3 linked regions of the Arabidopsis thaliana genome follow. The protein of the gene in region 1 purifies or fractionates together with the protein of each later gene. This does not show direct contact. Each region holds a gene or a part of one and is shown on either strand. Other genes may lie near its edges.

Region 1 (4,712 bases):
ATTAGGTTCATGGAAGATATAAATAGGGTTCGTAGTTACATTTGTAATTTTATTTAATATGTGATCACTGCAGGCCTGTCATCCGTGGAAGATCGACAGCAAGAAAGACAGTATACGTTTGTGGGAAACCGCGATGGGTATTCGTTATTACTTTCCTTACAGGTACTTGAATACTCATAATTCCTCTTTATGTAGTTAATGTAATATTGGTGTTAAAAACTGATCAATGTGTTAATTTTCTCATGTATATATAGCCAGTCTTGTCATGTGGTTTTCTTCCTGCGGTTTGTTGTGGGTCCTCTATGCACTTCTCACTTCCCTTGCTGGTAAAGTTATTCCTCCTGTTTGATCATAGATGTCCTTTGATGGAGTTTATGTTTTGACCTTAACATTTTTTCTCCACAGTGATCATTGTTCATGCAAGCATAAGAACCCCAAATCTCAAGGCACGCTTAAACACATTCCGTGAAGAATTCCGGGCTGTCTGGCGTAACTACAGTGAACTTTAAGTCACAGGTCGCGCTACACAATCTAGAAACAAACAAAACAGTCATCTGACAAGTGAGGGGATGCTTTCCCTCAACCATGTTCGCAGTTTATTCTTATGATGGCAGATGTAGCTCTATTTTTACATGGTTAAGATGGTTATTGGCAGTTCGATAGCAGACAGAATAGATTCACTTGAAATAGTGGACATACTTGACCAAGTTACTTCTAATTGGTGTAGTGATGTTTATACTTTTCTCACTGTCTCACAATACTCTTTTTTTATATAAATAGATCCAAACATAATTGAATGGTGTTTCAAGTACAAAATTTGGAAGACAAAGAGCATCGGAAAATAACATTGTTTTCTTATTTCAATACTTGACAAAGTTCTTGAGAGATTTCAACCACAGTAAGTGCTCTCTACTATCCTTGTTGATCATGTACTCGTGCAAGAAGTTGATCATGCTCGGCTTTATCCCTCTAATCTCAATGTACCTATGGAAAGCCTTCCTTAGCTTTTCATCCAAAACCCTGCAGAAAGAAACCATCAAAGATCATCGCTTTGATTCTGGTAACATCAAAAGCTTAAAACTTTTTCTTCTATTACCTGAAGGAAGGTCCTTCATAAGCAAGCTCATCTTTGGAAGGATCATCAGGAAATGTAACCCACATGTCCTTGATCGCAATCCTGTCTGGAAAAGCAGTACATCTAAATTCCAAACTTGGTCCTGTCTTCTTGGAAAGAGTTACTAAGAGAGGCACATTCGATTGCTTAGGCTTCAATGGCTTATCCTCATCTTCATCTTCTTCATTCTCTGCTTCTTCCTCATCATCTTCATCATCTTCTTTGTCACCAGTCACAAGATTAGTCATGTGTACTTCAACTTTAACAGTCTCTCCTTCATATTCTCTAGTCAATGTCACAATCTTCCCTCCTGGTTTGTCTTCCATTTCGAAAGGGAAGCCACTTGGAGTTTCTTCAACCTTTATTCAAACAAAAGAAGAAACAGAGAGATTACACACCATTGCCATTGAAACAGAGCTTCACGAAACACATAAATCTTAATAAACAAAATTTGCAGAAACTAAAACATGAAAATGGTAAGGATTTACTCGATGATAATCATCAGCTTTCTCGGCGTATCCAATCTCCTCTTCAATGATTCGAAGAAGCGGATCAGTTGGAGAAGCTCTCTTTTTGGTCGATGTGGTAAATGGAACATTCCGGTCAACCGACGGCGTCAGATGTCGCCTCCGGCCAGAAGCGGACTGGTCCAACAATGAGTAAACGAAAGAACGGTTTTTCCAATAACTTCCCACAAACCGAGAAGCTGCGCGACGTACAAGAGTCGCCATTTTTTTTGTGTTGAAGCTCAAATTGGAAGAGTGAGGGTTTTTATTTCCCTTTAGGGTTTAATATAGCAAATTACAAATTTAGCGGGACTTAAATTAAAAATCACAGAAAATCAGGACCGGCTAAAAATACGGGCCAATATGGGCCTAGTGGCCCATTACGACATTAAGAGACCGTTTCCATAATCCGAAACCCTAGTTTGCTTCTGTCTTTAGTTGTTGCCTTTTAAACTAAACTAACGAACTTAATAAGCGGCATATCTAAATCTGAGAAAAATGGCGATTGATACGATACAAAAAACAAAAAAGCTTCGGTGGGGAGAAATTGACGAAGAAGAAGGCGACTATGATTTCCTTCTTCCGCCTAAGCAGATGATTAGTCCGGACCAGAACGGTGTAAAGAAGGTGATTGAGTACAAATTCAACGAAGAGGACAAAAAGGTCAAAATCACTACCACGACCCGTGTTCAGAAGCGAGCTCTCACCAAACAAGCCGTGGAGCGACGGAGCTGGAATAAGTTCGGAGACGCAGCTCATGAAGAATCCAGTAGTTACCTCACAATGCGTTCAACAGAGGATATCATCTTGGAACGAATTAGAGCTCCTGGTAAAATCTTCAACTTTGCATTTTAGTTTGTTAGGATTCGTTGTTATTATGCTCTGTTTTGATTAGGGTGGCTAATTAGCCAGTCACATGTTAGCTTTATGGCTACTGTTTGTGTGAATGGTCAGTAAGCACACCTATAGCAATGTCGTTGGTGATTCGTTTCAACACTAGAACAGGATTTAACCCAGTTTTTGGTTATGGATCATCAACTATATCTTTGGTTCAAGTTTTTTTTTTGTAACTGTGTAACATAACAAAGGTGCCCAATTAGCCGATCACATATTAGCCATATATGGCTGCTTCTTTCTGTGATTGGTCAGTATGTCACCAATATAAGTATCTTGTTGGTAGCCTTTTCTGAATGTGGACAAATTCTGTGTTCTCTTTTCTAGGCTATTAACTGTACACATTCAAGTATTCATTTTTACATAAGTTTCTTTATAGGTGGACACGTTAGTCAGCCATATTGTTCTATATGTGGGTGGCCGTAATGCCCACCTAGATGTTTTGTTGGTGGCTTCTTGCACGAAAGTAGATTTCTGCTTTCACTTTATAGCTGCCAACTACATTTTTAGTTTTTGCATTACCATCTTAAAGGGTAGTATTATTTTGAGGTTTTAAGATGTTTATTCTTTTGAATATCTCAGGTAGCAACGCGGAACAGTCGACCGTATCAGGAGATAGCATGTCTCAGTTGGGCAAACCGGGTGCGGTCCTCATGGTCTGCAGGTTATGCCAAAAGAAAGGTGACCACTGGACATCAAGATGCCCACAGAAGGATCTCTTATCCTTAATGGACGAGCCTTTAACAGCAGAAACTTCTACATCGACCATAACTGGAACTGGCAGGGCGGCTTATGTCCCGCCAAGCATGAGAGAAGGTGCAGACAGAAAAGCTGGTGGTTCAGACATGAGGAGTAGACATGATGAGAACTCTGTCCGTGTGACTAATTTGTCTGAAGATACCCGTGGACCAGATTTGATGGAGTTGTTTCGTCCGTTTGGTGCTGTAACCCGTTGTCATGTAGCCATTGATCAGAAGACAAGCATGAGCAGAGGATTTGGTTTTGTCAGTTTTGTGAGCAGGGAAGATGCACAGCGAGCAATCAACAAATTGAATGGCTATGGTTATGATAACCTCATTCTTAGGGTTGAATGGTCCACTCCTAAAACCCAATTAGATCCGTTTTCATTCGCTGATTATAATAATCTTTGTAAGTTGTTGAATATATGTCATTCATGATTATAAGTTCTCGCGATACATAGTAATTCATGTTGGGGTCTCGTATGCAAGTTCCTACTAAATGTATTTCGGTTGAATACGTGCAAAAAAAGTAATAAAACTCTCTTTATTACGGCAAGCATGTTACTTAGAAATGATCATAAGGGAAGGACCAAGTAAGGGCAATTAATCAAGTGAATATCATCAAATTCAAAGAGATGGGAAACAAGGACTCGAAAGGCTCTTCTTCTTCAACCAATCCGAAAGAGGAGATTGCTGCTGTACCTCAGCCTCAACAGTCACCACCGCAATTGATCCGAAAATCGCAACCACAGCAGCCATTACCACCACCTTCGTCTGAGATGCCTCTTCTCTATCCGTGTTACAAAAAAGAAGACTATGAGAAAATGAGCGAAGAGACAATCGATATGCTCTTAGCGACTTACGGAATCATGACAGTCCCTGGCGATTTAGCTGACAAGAGAAAGTTTGCTTTTGAAACCTTTCGTTGGGATCATAAGAACAATCACCCCAAAGCTTAGCAACTACTTGTCTAGTATAATGAAACTAACGTTTTATGATTGGACCTAAACACATTCATAATTCGTTCATTAACACAAGAAAATATAAATCAAAATGCTAGTACTTGTACAATATCGAATATTTTAATCACTTTAACATCTCTTGAACAAGTTTCAGAAAAAATTGTTAAGACTAAAAGGCCCTAATTTTACCAAAATAATTATATTTTATTTTGAGTTTTGCCAAAGGTCCAAAAATGAATTGAGCCGGAACTGTATCCAATATGGAACATAGTTTTTACAAAATTATAGTTTTACAAAATTTAAACTATATCCAACATGGAACAAAGTTTAAACCCGCGGGCCTAATGGGTTTTATAAAATTTAAACGGATAGCCGGTTTTAGAAATCATAGTTTTTTTTTTTTTTGACAAAGTTTTTTTCTTTAAACTTGTTAATCTGAGACAATTTAATTCTTTGAAGAATATATGAAAACACTAAATTAATCATGAACTTTTAC
Region 2 (5,306 bases), on another chromosome or scaffold:
AAAACGAGAAAATATTCGATATTTCCTTAGAAATCAGATTACTGAACATTCGACTAATCATCAGGCATTTACCTTTCATAGAAAACAGTTCAAAAAGCAATATAAAGCCAAAAAACGAAAAAAAGATTATCCTGAAATTAATCCACAGTACTGGTTTTTTTTTTTTTTAAAAAGGAGACCGCGTTTCTACGCTGACTTTCAAATCAGTCGCGTCGGTATTATTCCACACGCCTTTTTTCTCGTCCCCATCCTCTATCCACATTTCTCTCTATATATACTCTCCTCGTATCCTAAACTCATCCTCAAATTCAAAATTTAACACACAAACACAAACACACACACCAAAAAAAACACAGACCTTAAAAAAATAAAAATGGTTGATATGGATTGGAAGAGGAAGATGGTATCATCAGATTTACCAAACTCACCTAAGCTTTCTTCAAAGCTTCACGTAACTATTCCATCACCGTTCAAAATCGTCCCTGTTTCATCTCCGATCTCATGTTCAGCACCTGCTCTTTGCTCTGCTTACGAGCTTTACCTTCGTCTCCCTGAGCTAAGAAAGCTCTGGTCATCTCGTGATTTTCCTCAATGGACATCAGAGCCGATTCTCAAACCAGCTCTTCAAGCTTTGGAGATCAGTTTCAGATTAGTTTTCGCCGTTTGTTCTGATACTAGACCGTACATCAACCACCGTGAATGGAACCGGAGGCTAGATTCTCTCATCACGAAGCAGATCCAGCTTGTAGCAGCGATCTGCGAAGATGAAGAAGAAGAAGGTATATCAGCGGAGGCTCCGGTCGGCGGTGGACGGAGTTCGTTGAGTTTGTTACCGCAGCTAGCTACGTGGAGGAGATCAGAGGCTTTGGGGAAGAAGATCTTATATACGATCGATAACGAGATGAGTCGGTGTAAGTACACGCTCGGACTCGGTGAACAAAACATCGCCGGAAAACCAAATCTCCGGTACGATGCGATTTGCCGACCAAACGAGATCTATAGCCTCAAGGATAATCCATACGCAGATCATATCGATAATCACGAGAATCAAACTCTCTATATCATTCACCAGATCCTCGAATCGTGGATCTACGCATCTGGAAATCTTCTGAATCGAATCGTCTCAAGTATCGAAGAAGAGAAATTCGGAAAAGCTTCAAACGATGTTTACTTGCTGGAGAAGATCTGGAAAATTTTAGCGGAGATTGAAGATCTTCATATGTTGATGGATCCGGAAGATTTTTTGAAATTGAAGAAACAGTTACAGATCAAATCGACGGGTAAAAACGATGCGTTTTGTTTCAGATCTAAAGGATTAGTGGAGATGATGAAGATGTCGAAAGATCTGAGACAGAAAGTACCGGCGGTCTTGGCGGTTGAGGTAGATCCAACCGGAGGACCAAGATTACAAGAGGCGGCGATGAAGCTTTACGCGAGGAAGACAGAGTGCGATAAGATTCATTTGCTTCAGGGGATGCAAGCGGTGGAAGCGGCGGCGAAGAGTTTCTTCTTTGGGTATAGGCAGTTAGTGGCGGCTATGATGGGAAGTGCGGAGATGAACGCGACGGCGAGTCAAGAGTCGTGTGACTCACTGAGTCAGATATTTATGGAGCCGACGTATTTCCCGAGCCTTGACGCGGCAAAGACGTTTCTGGGAGAGTTTTGGAGTCATTTGGGATGATTAAATTTTAATTTCTGCTGGTATAATTATTTAATATAAATTTAAATTGGTGGTTTGGTTTAATTTAGTTTGTAAGATAGTGAAATTTTTGGAACATTTGACGATCCATATTTGAATACAAATTCATTTTTATATGATTTATGAGATTTTTTAACAAACGATAACATTTACGAATATCGTAATCCATACTTTGAATTATCCACAAGTCGTAATTCAAATATGGGTGGTCTACTAACGAGTAACGACTAATCTATATGCTCTGACTAATCGTCAACAAATCACCACCTATCCTTCGTAGATGTTAGTGTATGAGAAAAACACAATTTCACACCTATCCTTTGTAGATGTTAAATTATGAGAAAAACACAATTTCACTTTCACAGTGTATAATATTCAAAATTCAATGATAAACACACACACAAAAACGTTATAAAAAACCCAAACCGACGATGAGTAACCAAACCGATGTATAAAACGACATTGCCTTTCTCTGTTTTTTGTGTTCAACAAATTTCATTAAGAGAAAGAAGGGAAGTGTTTGAATGAGTATTCATTCATTAGTCCAAGAAAAACATTTAATGGGCCTGTTTGTAGGCCCACTGGCACATAACCTATCTTCTGTATCATTGATGCCTTCTCCTACCTTCCTCTGACGCTCACATCGGAAACCCTAAATCTCCACTCTCTCGCGCCTTTTACCCCTTCTCAGAATCTTAACCATGGCGGCGACGAGCGAGCACACCATCTTGCAATTTGTGTCTCCGTCATCAACGGCGTCCGCTACAACCTCTGTACTCACGGCGAGGATCCACCCTCTCGTTATCTTTAACGTCTGTGATTGCTTCGTGAGACGTCCTGACTCAGCTGAACGAGTCATCGGAACTCTCCTCGGATCTATCTTACCTGACGGAACCGTCGATATCCGCAATTCATACGCCGTCCCTCACAATGAATCATCCGATCAGGTTCGAAATTTTGATCTCTAAATTTCTCCTCTCTCTCGATTCTCTATCGTTGGAGATCCTAGATCTTTCGTAGCTGAAGATTTGCTTGTTAGGATGTGAATGTTTATAGGAGTAGTGTTAGCTTCATACCCCAAGGTTGTGACTTGTGATAAGTTTTGAGGGTTATGGTTTGATATGGATGCAGGTTGCTGTGGATATTGATTACCACCACAATATGTTAGCTTCACACCTTAAGGTGAATTCAAAGGAAACTATTGTCGGCTGGTACTTCTCGTTTCCCACTCTTATTCTCTTATACTCTCATGATTAGTCTCATATCTTTGTCACATGATTCTTGTAGCTGTGTTGGAACACTGCATTAGGTAGTTTCTCATTTTGGAATAGTTGATTGAACAAGTTTATTGATTTGCAGGTATTCAACTGGTGCTGGGGTTAATGGCGGTAGTTCGCTGATTCATGATTTCTATGCTAGAGAAGTACCCAACCCAATTCACCTAACTGTGGATACTGGGTTTACTAATGGTGAGGGTACTATCAAAGCTTTTGTCTCTTCAAACCTCTCACTCGGTGATCGACAACTCGTTGCACATTTTCAAGAGATTCCTGTTGATCTCCGCATGGTTGATGCTGAGAGAGTCGGATGTGAGTATTCTATCCTTTTATTAGTAACCAATTCTATATTCAAAATACATAACAGTCCTCATTCCTCAATTGTCTAAGTAGTTCAGTTTCTGCATGGTTGATTCAGTATCTAGAGATTGTTTCCCTAATGATTGTGAATGAACCAACGGGAATAGATGATCTTTGGTTGTGTCTGTTCAGTAGATTAATGATTGTGACTGATTTAAAAACATCATTTTGATCCACAGTCGATGTACTTAAGGCAACATCTGTTGACAAACTCCCAAATGACTTGGAAGGAATGGAGTTAACAATGGAGAGGCTGTTAACTCTAATCAACGATGTCTACAAATATGTTGACAGTGTCGTGGTAAGCTTATGATATCCTTGACTGTCTATTATCGACCATAGATACATGATCTTTGATACAGAGTTTTAATGAAATTTCCCAGGGAGGTCAAATAGCTCCAGACAACAACATTGGACGATTCATTGCAGATGCAGTAGCCTCCCTTCCCAAGTTACCTCCACAAGTCTTCGATAACCTCGTGAATGATAGTCTCCAGGTAAAAGATTGTAAATTTCAAGCCAAAGCAAAACACTTTGTAAAAAACTAATGGTTGTTTCTTCTGTTATTTCAGGACCAATTGCTTCTGTTGTACCTATCAAGCATAACAAGGACACAGTTGAGTCTAGCGGAGAAGCTAAACACAGCTGCTCAAATGCTATAATAAGCTTGGAAACACAAGGTTTTGCTAAAAATGGGGAATGCTGCTTTTTTGGTTTCGAATTTTCTTTTAACAAGTTTATGTAAGAATCAGCTTCTTGTTGTAGTGTTCCTAAATTGCAAGTTTAAGAAAGACAAAATGCTCTGTTTCGTGAATTAAGGTCTTTAAAAGGGATTTTTAGTTGGTGTGCCTAATTTTAAACAATATACATATAAATGAGCTTTGTTCTTTTTTTATTTGCCACTTGTTGCGCCTAATCTTTATCACTGGAGATATTTATGCTCAGAATTTTGGATCATGGTCTCTCTCTATTAGCTATGTTACATTGAAAGAGTATAGAAGCCTAGAATTACTGCTTTCTCTTTTGCCGTATTGCGATTGGCCTATGTAGGATCTTACAAAACAGGCTTAATAGACACTATTGGAAACTAACTTCTAAATTGTAAACAATTTGCGATTTGCGGTTGCATATAATAATGCTAACTTTGGCATATAATAGACACTATTGGAAGTTAATATCTAAATATTACACAACATTTGCGATTGAAATCATTCAGCAATTTTTTCATTTCCTGCTTTCACTACACAACTAACACAATCAATTTTTTTACCCGTTTTTTTGTCTTTCTGATAAGCTAAATTAGAGCTACGGTTTATGTATCGGAATACATTAAACTGATTTCGCTGAATCCGAACGAGTATTTGAAGTTTTTGTGGTTAAAAACTTGATTATTTTAGTTTGTGTTGTAAAAACATGAGGGGAGTTTTTGTGGAATGGATTTTGATAGCAAATGTATACGCCTGTTTCTCTGTCAACATACGTACTACATACGATGTTATACAGACATATACGACCGTACCAGTACATGTACATATCAAACTTGAGAAGAATATGTGTAGGCCGGTGTGTAGATGGGTCAACATTAAAGACGTGCATGCACTTGTGATGTAAGTGAACAACTTGCATACATTGTTCACAGTAATCTAACTTATCATTCCACTTCACCCACCTTCACTCTATGGTTATTGGTCTCCATAGCCTTTGCCTTTTCTCTTTATTTATACATTGACGTAGTATCATACGTATTAGTGCTAACCGATAAATTAATATTCGAATCATTTTCATAGTAGTTGTGGGTTACATTTATTTAAAACCTGAAAATTTACGATAATTTGCAATAATTCTCATGATTTTATGAGACGGACTAAACATAACACGGAGAAAACACATACTCGACGACTAGCTACAACTATATTTATGAATTAGGGATGGGCACTCGACTTTTCAATACGATCGACATCATATTTTAG
Region 3 (5,629 bases), on another chromosome or scaffold:
TAACCCAACTTTGGGATTATGTGTGGGAGATGATTGAGTATGTTGGTCAAGTTTGGAACTGATATCAAATACTAGATCACCAACAAAAAGCGATGCCTCCAATAAGAAGATTATTTAAATATCTATCCAAAAAATACTGTCCAATATTACAAGGACTGTAAATCATAAAGATAATTTAGTGTACATGTAGACCTTCATTTGCTCATTAGAATTTTTTTTCAGTTTGGGGATCTTTCAATGATTGGGATGCAGGAAGCCTCTCCAAAATGTTCTGATTGAGTTGAAGTAGAAATGAAGATGGTCAGAAAAACCATAAGAAACACGACCTTCAATAAGGAAAAAATGTAAGAAAGTATCCAAAAAATCATGTCCAACGTAACAAGGAGTAGACGATTAATAAAATTTGGTACCCCATTGTAGGTTTGTTGACTTGGATGTTCCCACTTGTATCGAAAATAGGATCTGACACAATGTTCCTAACCTAAATTTTGTTTTTAAAGTAAATTAGTCAAGTAATGACTTGCAAACTAAGGTGGGGTTTTAAAGTAAGGAGTGTCCAAACAACAGTACCTTCATGTTTGCGTATGAATGGACAAATTTCTTTGGATGACATCAATAACGATGATCACATGATGTGCAAAAGCAAGTCTAACTGATGTATTCACCCACTCGCCTAAAGAAATTAACAAAGTTAAAAGTTTGATATTATGTACTCTAAGGTTTTCTATTGACTAATCACATTATAATGACCAATTATATCAACACAAATGGATAAGTCAAATTACTCTTTTACAACTTAATACCAGACAATCAATGTTGAGTAGCAGTAAGAACAAAGTTAAATCAATATCCTAATCTGGCCATAGGATCACCTAAAGCTCTAGCATCCAAGCTTACATATTATTTCTTAAATCAATGATTTGATTTCTTCCAAAATGTAAGATTAAGAAATAGAACCTTTATATGGCTTTTTCCTTGAATTATCAAACACCAAGCTGTGCAGTCATGTATGGTCGTGGACAATGATTTTCAATTTTGTAACGACACATACGCTGCAAACAAAATGTGTGGTTGTCCATTACGGATTGTCCAAGTGTTGTAGTCCATATGTTCATCTTCTGTCCAATAGAGAACCTCAAGTACTGAATTTCAAACAAACTGGGCAGAGAAGTTATCAAACATTATCACAGAATTACGAACAAGATCTCCGAAGTCAACATGACAAAACTTTACCTTAGTTGTTCCGAAATTCTTGAACTTTTCTCGAAGTAACCTCAATTGAAATTGAAATTGAGTTTGGACAGTACGAGTTAAGAGATTTTCAGGCAAAGTAAATCCAAATCGATTTAAGAAATTGCAGAGATTTAGAGGAAATGACAAGAGAATTGGGTTTGGTGTTTTACGGTTGAAAGAGCAAACGAGAGTGTAGTGTGAAAAGCAGTGGTGGTGGACAGTGACGGAGGAGATGGATATCCCGTCGCCGGAGTCCCCTTTTCGAGAAATTGTAATTTAGGATTTTTTATTGGATTTGGATTTTTACGATTCTGGAAAAAAAATTTAAATCACAAAGGCAACTACAAAATCGTGGACTCCATAAATCTGAATTGGTTTAGTGAAAATAGATTTGATTTGTTTGGTTATAGAAAACCGACGATACGAGGGTGAACAAGTAATTTTAATTATTCAAAGTGCCTAATGATTTTTAAGTGCCTAATTACGGATAAACTTTCAAAAAAGTGTCTAATCACGTAATATTCTCTTATAGTAAACCCTAATTCGCCTCTCTTCTTAACGATTCGTTATTCTCTAGTCAAGCATCTCCATCGTCTCACATCAATCTCTCCATCGTCTCAAATCAATCAAAGGTAATTTCATTCTTCTTCATCTTTCCTTGAACAAATTTTAGGTTCGAGTTTTTTGTTCTTCATCTATGTTTTGTGTCCCCCCTGCAATTATATCTCCATCGTCTCAAAGTTTTATATTTTGATGTATCAGGTTCTTCTCCTTGCTAACGAAGATGACGACGACTTCTCGTTTTTTCGCTCAGGTTTCTTTCCATAGACCTTTGTTTACTTATCAAAACCTATATTTTTTTGTAACAGTTTCTTAATGCTTTTTCTTTGCTTATGTTTCGTTTACAGAGTGGAAGTGAAAGTGAAGATGAGAGTGACTTTGAAAAAGAAGAGGTTGAGGGTAACAACACTCGTTACCTTGCAGACTTACCTGACGGTGAGATTTGTTGTGGTATGGATACTAAACGTGTGGTTAAGCCAAAAAAAGATAAACGTTTTGAGGAGATGGCCAACACTATAGAGAATATGAAGCATGCCATGAACATCAATGATTGTGTTTACTTGCAAGAAACGTTTGAGAAACTCAACAAACAGATTAGTAAGTCCGTAAAGACTCCGACTTTGTATATCAAGACCCTTGTGATGTTGGAAGATTTCTTGAATGAAGATAATATGAAAACAAAGGAGAAGATGAGTACTAGTAACTCCAAGGCTTTGAACGCAATGAGACAGAAACTGAAGAAGAACAATCTGCAGTACCAAGAAGATATCAAAAGATTTAGGGAGTCTCCAGAAATCGAAGACGATGATGAGTATGAAGAGGAGGTGGTGGAGGATTCTGCTGATAATGTTTCTTGGGAGATGTTGTTTAGTTTAGATCATGAAGAGATAACTTGGAACATGGTCAACAAGAAGTTCAAAGAAATTAGGGCTGCTCGTTGGAGCAAAAGAAGAAGTTCTAGCCTTAAACTCAAACCCGGCGAGACTCATGCGCAGAAGCATATGGACTTGACAAAGATCGCCAAGACTCCTGCACAGAAGGTTGAAATCTTGTTTAGTGTTATTTCAGCAGAGTTTAATGTGAATTCTGGTGGTCTCAGCGGATACATGCCTATCGATGTCTGGAAGAAATGTGTGGTTAACATGCTTACCATACTTGACATTCTTGTCAAGTACTATAACATTGTTGTGGATGATACCGTTGAACCTGATGAGAAGGAAACTTCAAAGCCAGCGGCATACGATGGAACCATTCGGGTCTCGGGAAATTTGGTTGCATTCTTAGAGAAGATTGAGACAGAGTTTTTCAAGAGTTTGCAGTGCATTGATCCTCACACCAATGATTATGTTGAGAGGTTGAAAGATGAGCCTATGTTCTTGGCTCTTGCTCAGAGTATCCAAGACTACTTGGAGCGGACAGGCGATTCTAAAGCTGCTTCAAAGGTAGCCTTTATACTAGTCGAGTCAATCTATTACAAGCCTCAAGAAGTTTTTGATGCTATGAGTAAATTGGCTGATGAGGAAATTGAGGAGGCTAACGAGGAAAGTGGATCTTCTTCTTCTTCATTCATTGTTGTTGCGGAGATTGTTCCTCGTAAGCCTACCTTCGCAAAGAGCAGCAGAGCTATGATGGATACACTTGTATCCTTTATCTACAAAAATGGAGATGAGAGGACCAAAGCCAGAGCAATGCTATGTGATATCTATCAACATGCTTTAATGGACAATTTTGTTACTGCTAGAGACTTGTTGCTGATGAGTCATCTACAAGAAAACATTCAACACATGGACATCTCTACACAGATTCTCTTTAACAGGACAATGGCACAACTTGGTCTTTGCGCTTTTCGGGTTGGAATGATAACTGAGTCACATAGCTGTCTCTCTGAGCTGTACTCTGGGAATAGAGTTAGGGAGTTGCTTGGTCAAGGTGTCTCGCAAAGTCGAGACCACGAGAAGACAACAGAGCAGGTAAATATTGACCTTATAGAACATATTATGTTCTTTTTCATTTTAGTAGAGTCTAATTTCTCTGTTTTTTGTTTTAACTATAGATGCTTATGGAGAGGAGAACACAAATACCGTACCATATGAACATAAACCTCGAGCTCTTGGAGGCTGTTTATCTTACTTGTGCCATGCTACTTGAAGTCCCAAACATGGCAGCAAACTCGCATGATTCCAAACACAAACCGATTAGCAAGAATATTCAGCGCCTGCTCGAGAAAAGTGAGAAGCAAGCGTTCACTGCACCCCCTGAAAATGTACGTGTCCATGTCATTGCAGCCACCAGAGCCCTGATCAAAGGAAACTTCCAAGAAGCGTTTTCAGTTTTGAACTCTCTTGATATCTGGAGACTGTTCAAGAACCGCGACAGCATACTCGATATGGTGAAAGCTAGTATCAGTGAAGTGGCTCTAAGGACTTATTTATTCACATACTCGAGCTCCTGTTACAAGTCCTTAAGTCTAGCTGAGCTAGCCAAAATGTTTGACATCTCTGAGTCACACGTCTATAGTATTGTGAGCAAGATGATGATCAACAAGGAGCTTAATGCAACATGGGACCAGCCAACTCAATGCATCGTCTTCCATGAAGTGCAACATAACAGAGCACAATCCTTGGCTTTTCAGATTACCGAAAAACTCGCGACTCTAGCAGAAAGCAACGAAAGTGCAATGGAGTCTAAAACTGGTGGTGTTGGCCTTGATATGACTTCAAGGAGAAGGGAAAACAGTCAGGACTATGCAGCAGCAGCATCAGACAACAGAGGTCTGAAAATGGATGGCTCAAGTCTTACCCGAGGCGTTTCTGCGTAAAGAGAATGTGGAGAAATCTGCAGGCAGTGTTAACCTTAGGCTCTTACTAAGAGTCTAAGACCTGTCATTATGTTTCATTACAGTTTTAGGTTTTGTTTTGTTACCAAAGGTTGTTTATGAATTGTTATTGTTGGAGCTCATGTTCTTGCAGCTCTGGTTTTATCAATATGACATCATATGCATACACTGGAATCATTAGACGTTTATAAAATATTTTATTCTTAGCTTCCTTGTTACCAAGTACAGGTACAATAGCAATAAGAGCACCATTAGTCCTTAGAATGGCTACAGTGAGAATATCAGGAAAAGAGTAAATCTGTGGAACACAGCCACAGGAGTCCAACAAGTAAAAAATAAAACAAGCCTTTTTCAGCTAGTTCAGATTTGTTTAGACCAATTCTGAACACTCCCAACCCTAGGCATCGCTTCTTTCTTGGCCTCAGAATCCACTTTAAACGTTACACCGCAAACCTCACCCGAACTGTCTACCCTTGGTACCGGCTTTAACTCATTTGATGGATGCTCATAGCTCCTCAAACCTCCAGATGAGGTAAAGAAACATCCTGCATTATGCATACACACAACCACATCCTAATTCATATTTGCACTAGATCAAAGAACAGTGAGATGTCTTCAAAACCCGAAAAACGGCTTGCTACATACCTTTAGGGAATGGCGCAAAGGATTTACCACAACCCTTCTTGACAGTCTCAACATCATCAGAAACAACAAGATGTCCTTCAGCATCGGTTCCCCAGTAGAGAGGAACACTCCCATCTACATCCTGAAACGCGTATAATAATAATAACCTCAGCATTACAATATGCAGAAATAAGTGTCAAATAGTAAAGAAGCAGAATTCAAACTTACCCCGGCAAGGAAGACATTTTGTGTGGAGCAGTCATAGAGCATAAACCCGAATTTGCCTTGAAAATCTCTAACAACTTGTTCAGCTGAATACGGACCACGATCTCTTAGAGTTCTGTAGGCTTCAATCACAATGGTAACCTCTGTAGC

What was found. Proteins that work in one complex are often made in the same cells at the same time.
Region 2: the proteins of EIF3G2 (region 1) and EIF2 fractionate together in Arabidopsis thaliana (co-fractionation; one large-scale study listed by BioGRID). This does not show direct contact.
Region 3: the proteins of EIF3G2 (region 1) and TIF3C2 fractionate together in Arabidopsis thaliana (co-fractionation; one large-scale study listed by BioGRID). This does not show direct contact.

The regions. Positions count from the first base shown.
Region 1 is NC_003076.8:1,806,051-1,810,762, forward strand, and holds EIF3G2 (eukaryotic translation initiation factor 3G2), read left to right. Parts: upstream 1-2,060; 5' UTR 2,061-2,118; coding exon 2,119-2,449; intron 2,450-2,511; exon of another isoform or gene 2,512-2,666; intron 2,667-2,706; exon of another isoform or gene 2,707-2,861; intron 2,862-3,096; coding exon 3,097-3,692; 3' UTR 3,693-3,806; downstream 3,807-4,712. Other genes in the region: PRA1.A2 (prenylated RAB acceptor 1.A2), read left to right, coding at 74-162, 255-326, 406-509; AT5G05990 (Mitochondrial glycoprotein family protein), read right to left, coding at 861-1,020, 1,097-1,473, 1,603-1,845; AT5G06010 (uncharacterized protein), read left to right, coding at 3,890-4,213.
Region 2 is NC_003071.7:16,697,024-16,702,329, reverse strand, and holds EIF2 (eukaryotic translation initiation factor 2), read left to right. Parts: upstream 1-2,020; 5' UTR 2,021-2,400; coding exon 2,401-2,646; intron 2,647-2,830; coding exon 2,831-2,910; intron 2,911-3,058; coding exon 3,059-3,288; intron 3,289-3,515; coding exon 3,516-3,637; intron 3,638-3,719; coding exon 3,720-3,833; intron 3,834-3,908; coding exon 3,909-3,998; 3' UTR 3,999-4,289; downstream 4,290-5,306. Other genes in the region: HSPRO2 (ortholog of sugar beet HS1 PRO-1 2), read left to right, coding at 374-1,681.
Region 3 is NC_003074.8:8,089,637-8,095,265, reverse strand, and holds TIF3C2 (eukaryotic translation initiation factor 3 subunit C2), read left to right. Parts: upstream 1-2,017; coding exon 2,018-2,047; intron 2,048-2,141; coding exon 2,142-3,764; intron 3,765-3,847; coding exon 3,848-4,612; downstream 4,613-5,629. Other genes in the region: AT3G22850 (aluminum induced protein with YGL and LRDR motifs), read right to left, coding at 4,991-5,175, 5,276-5,396, 5,483-5,629.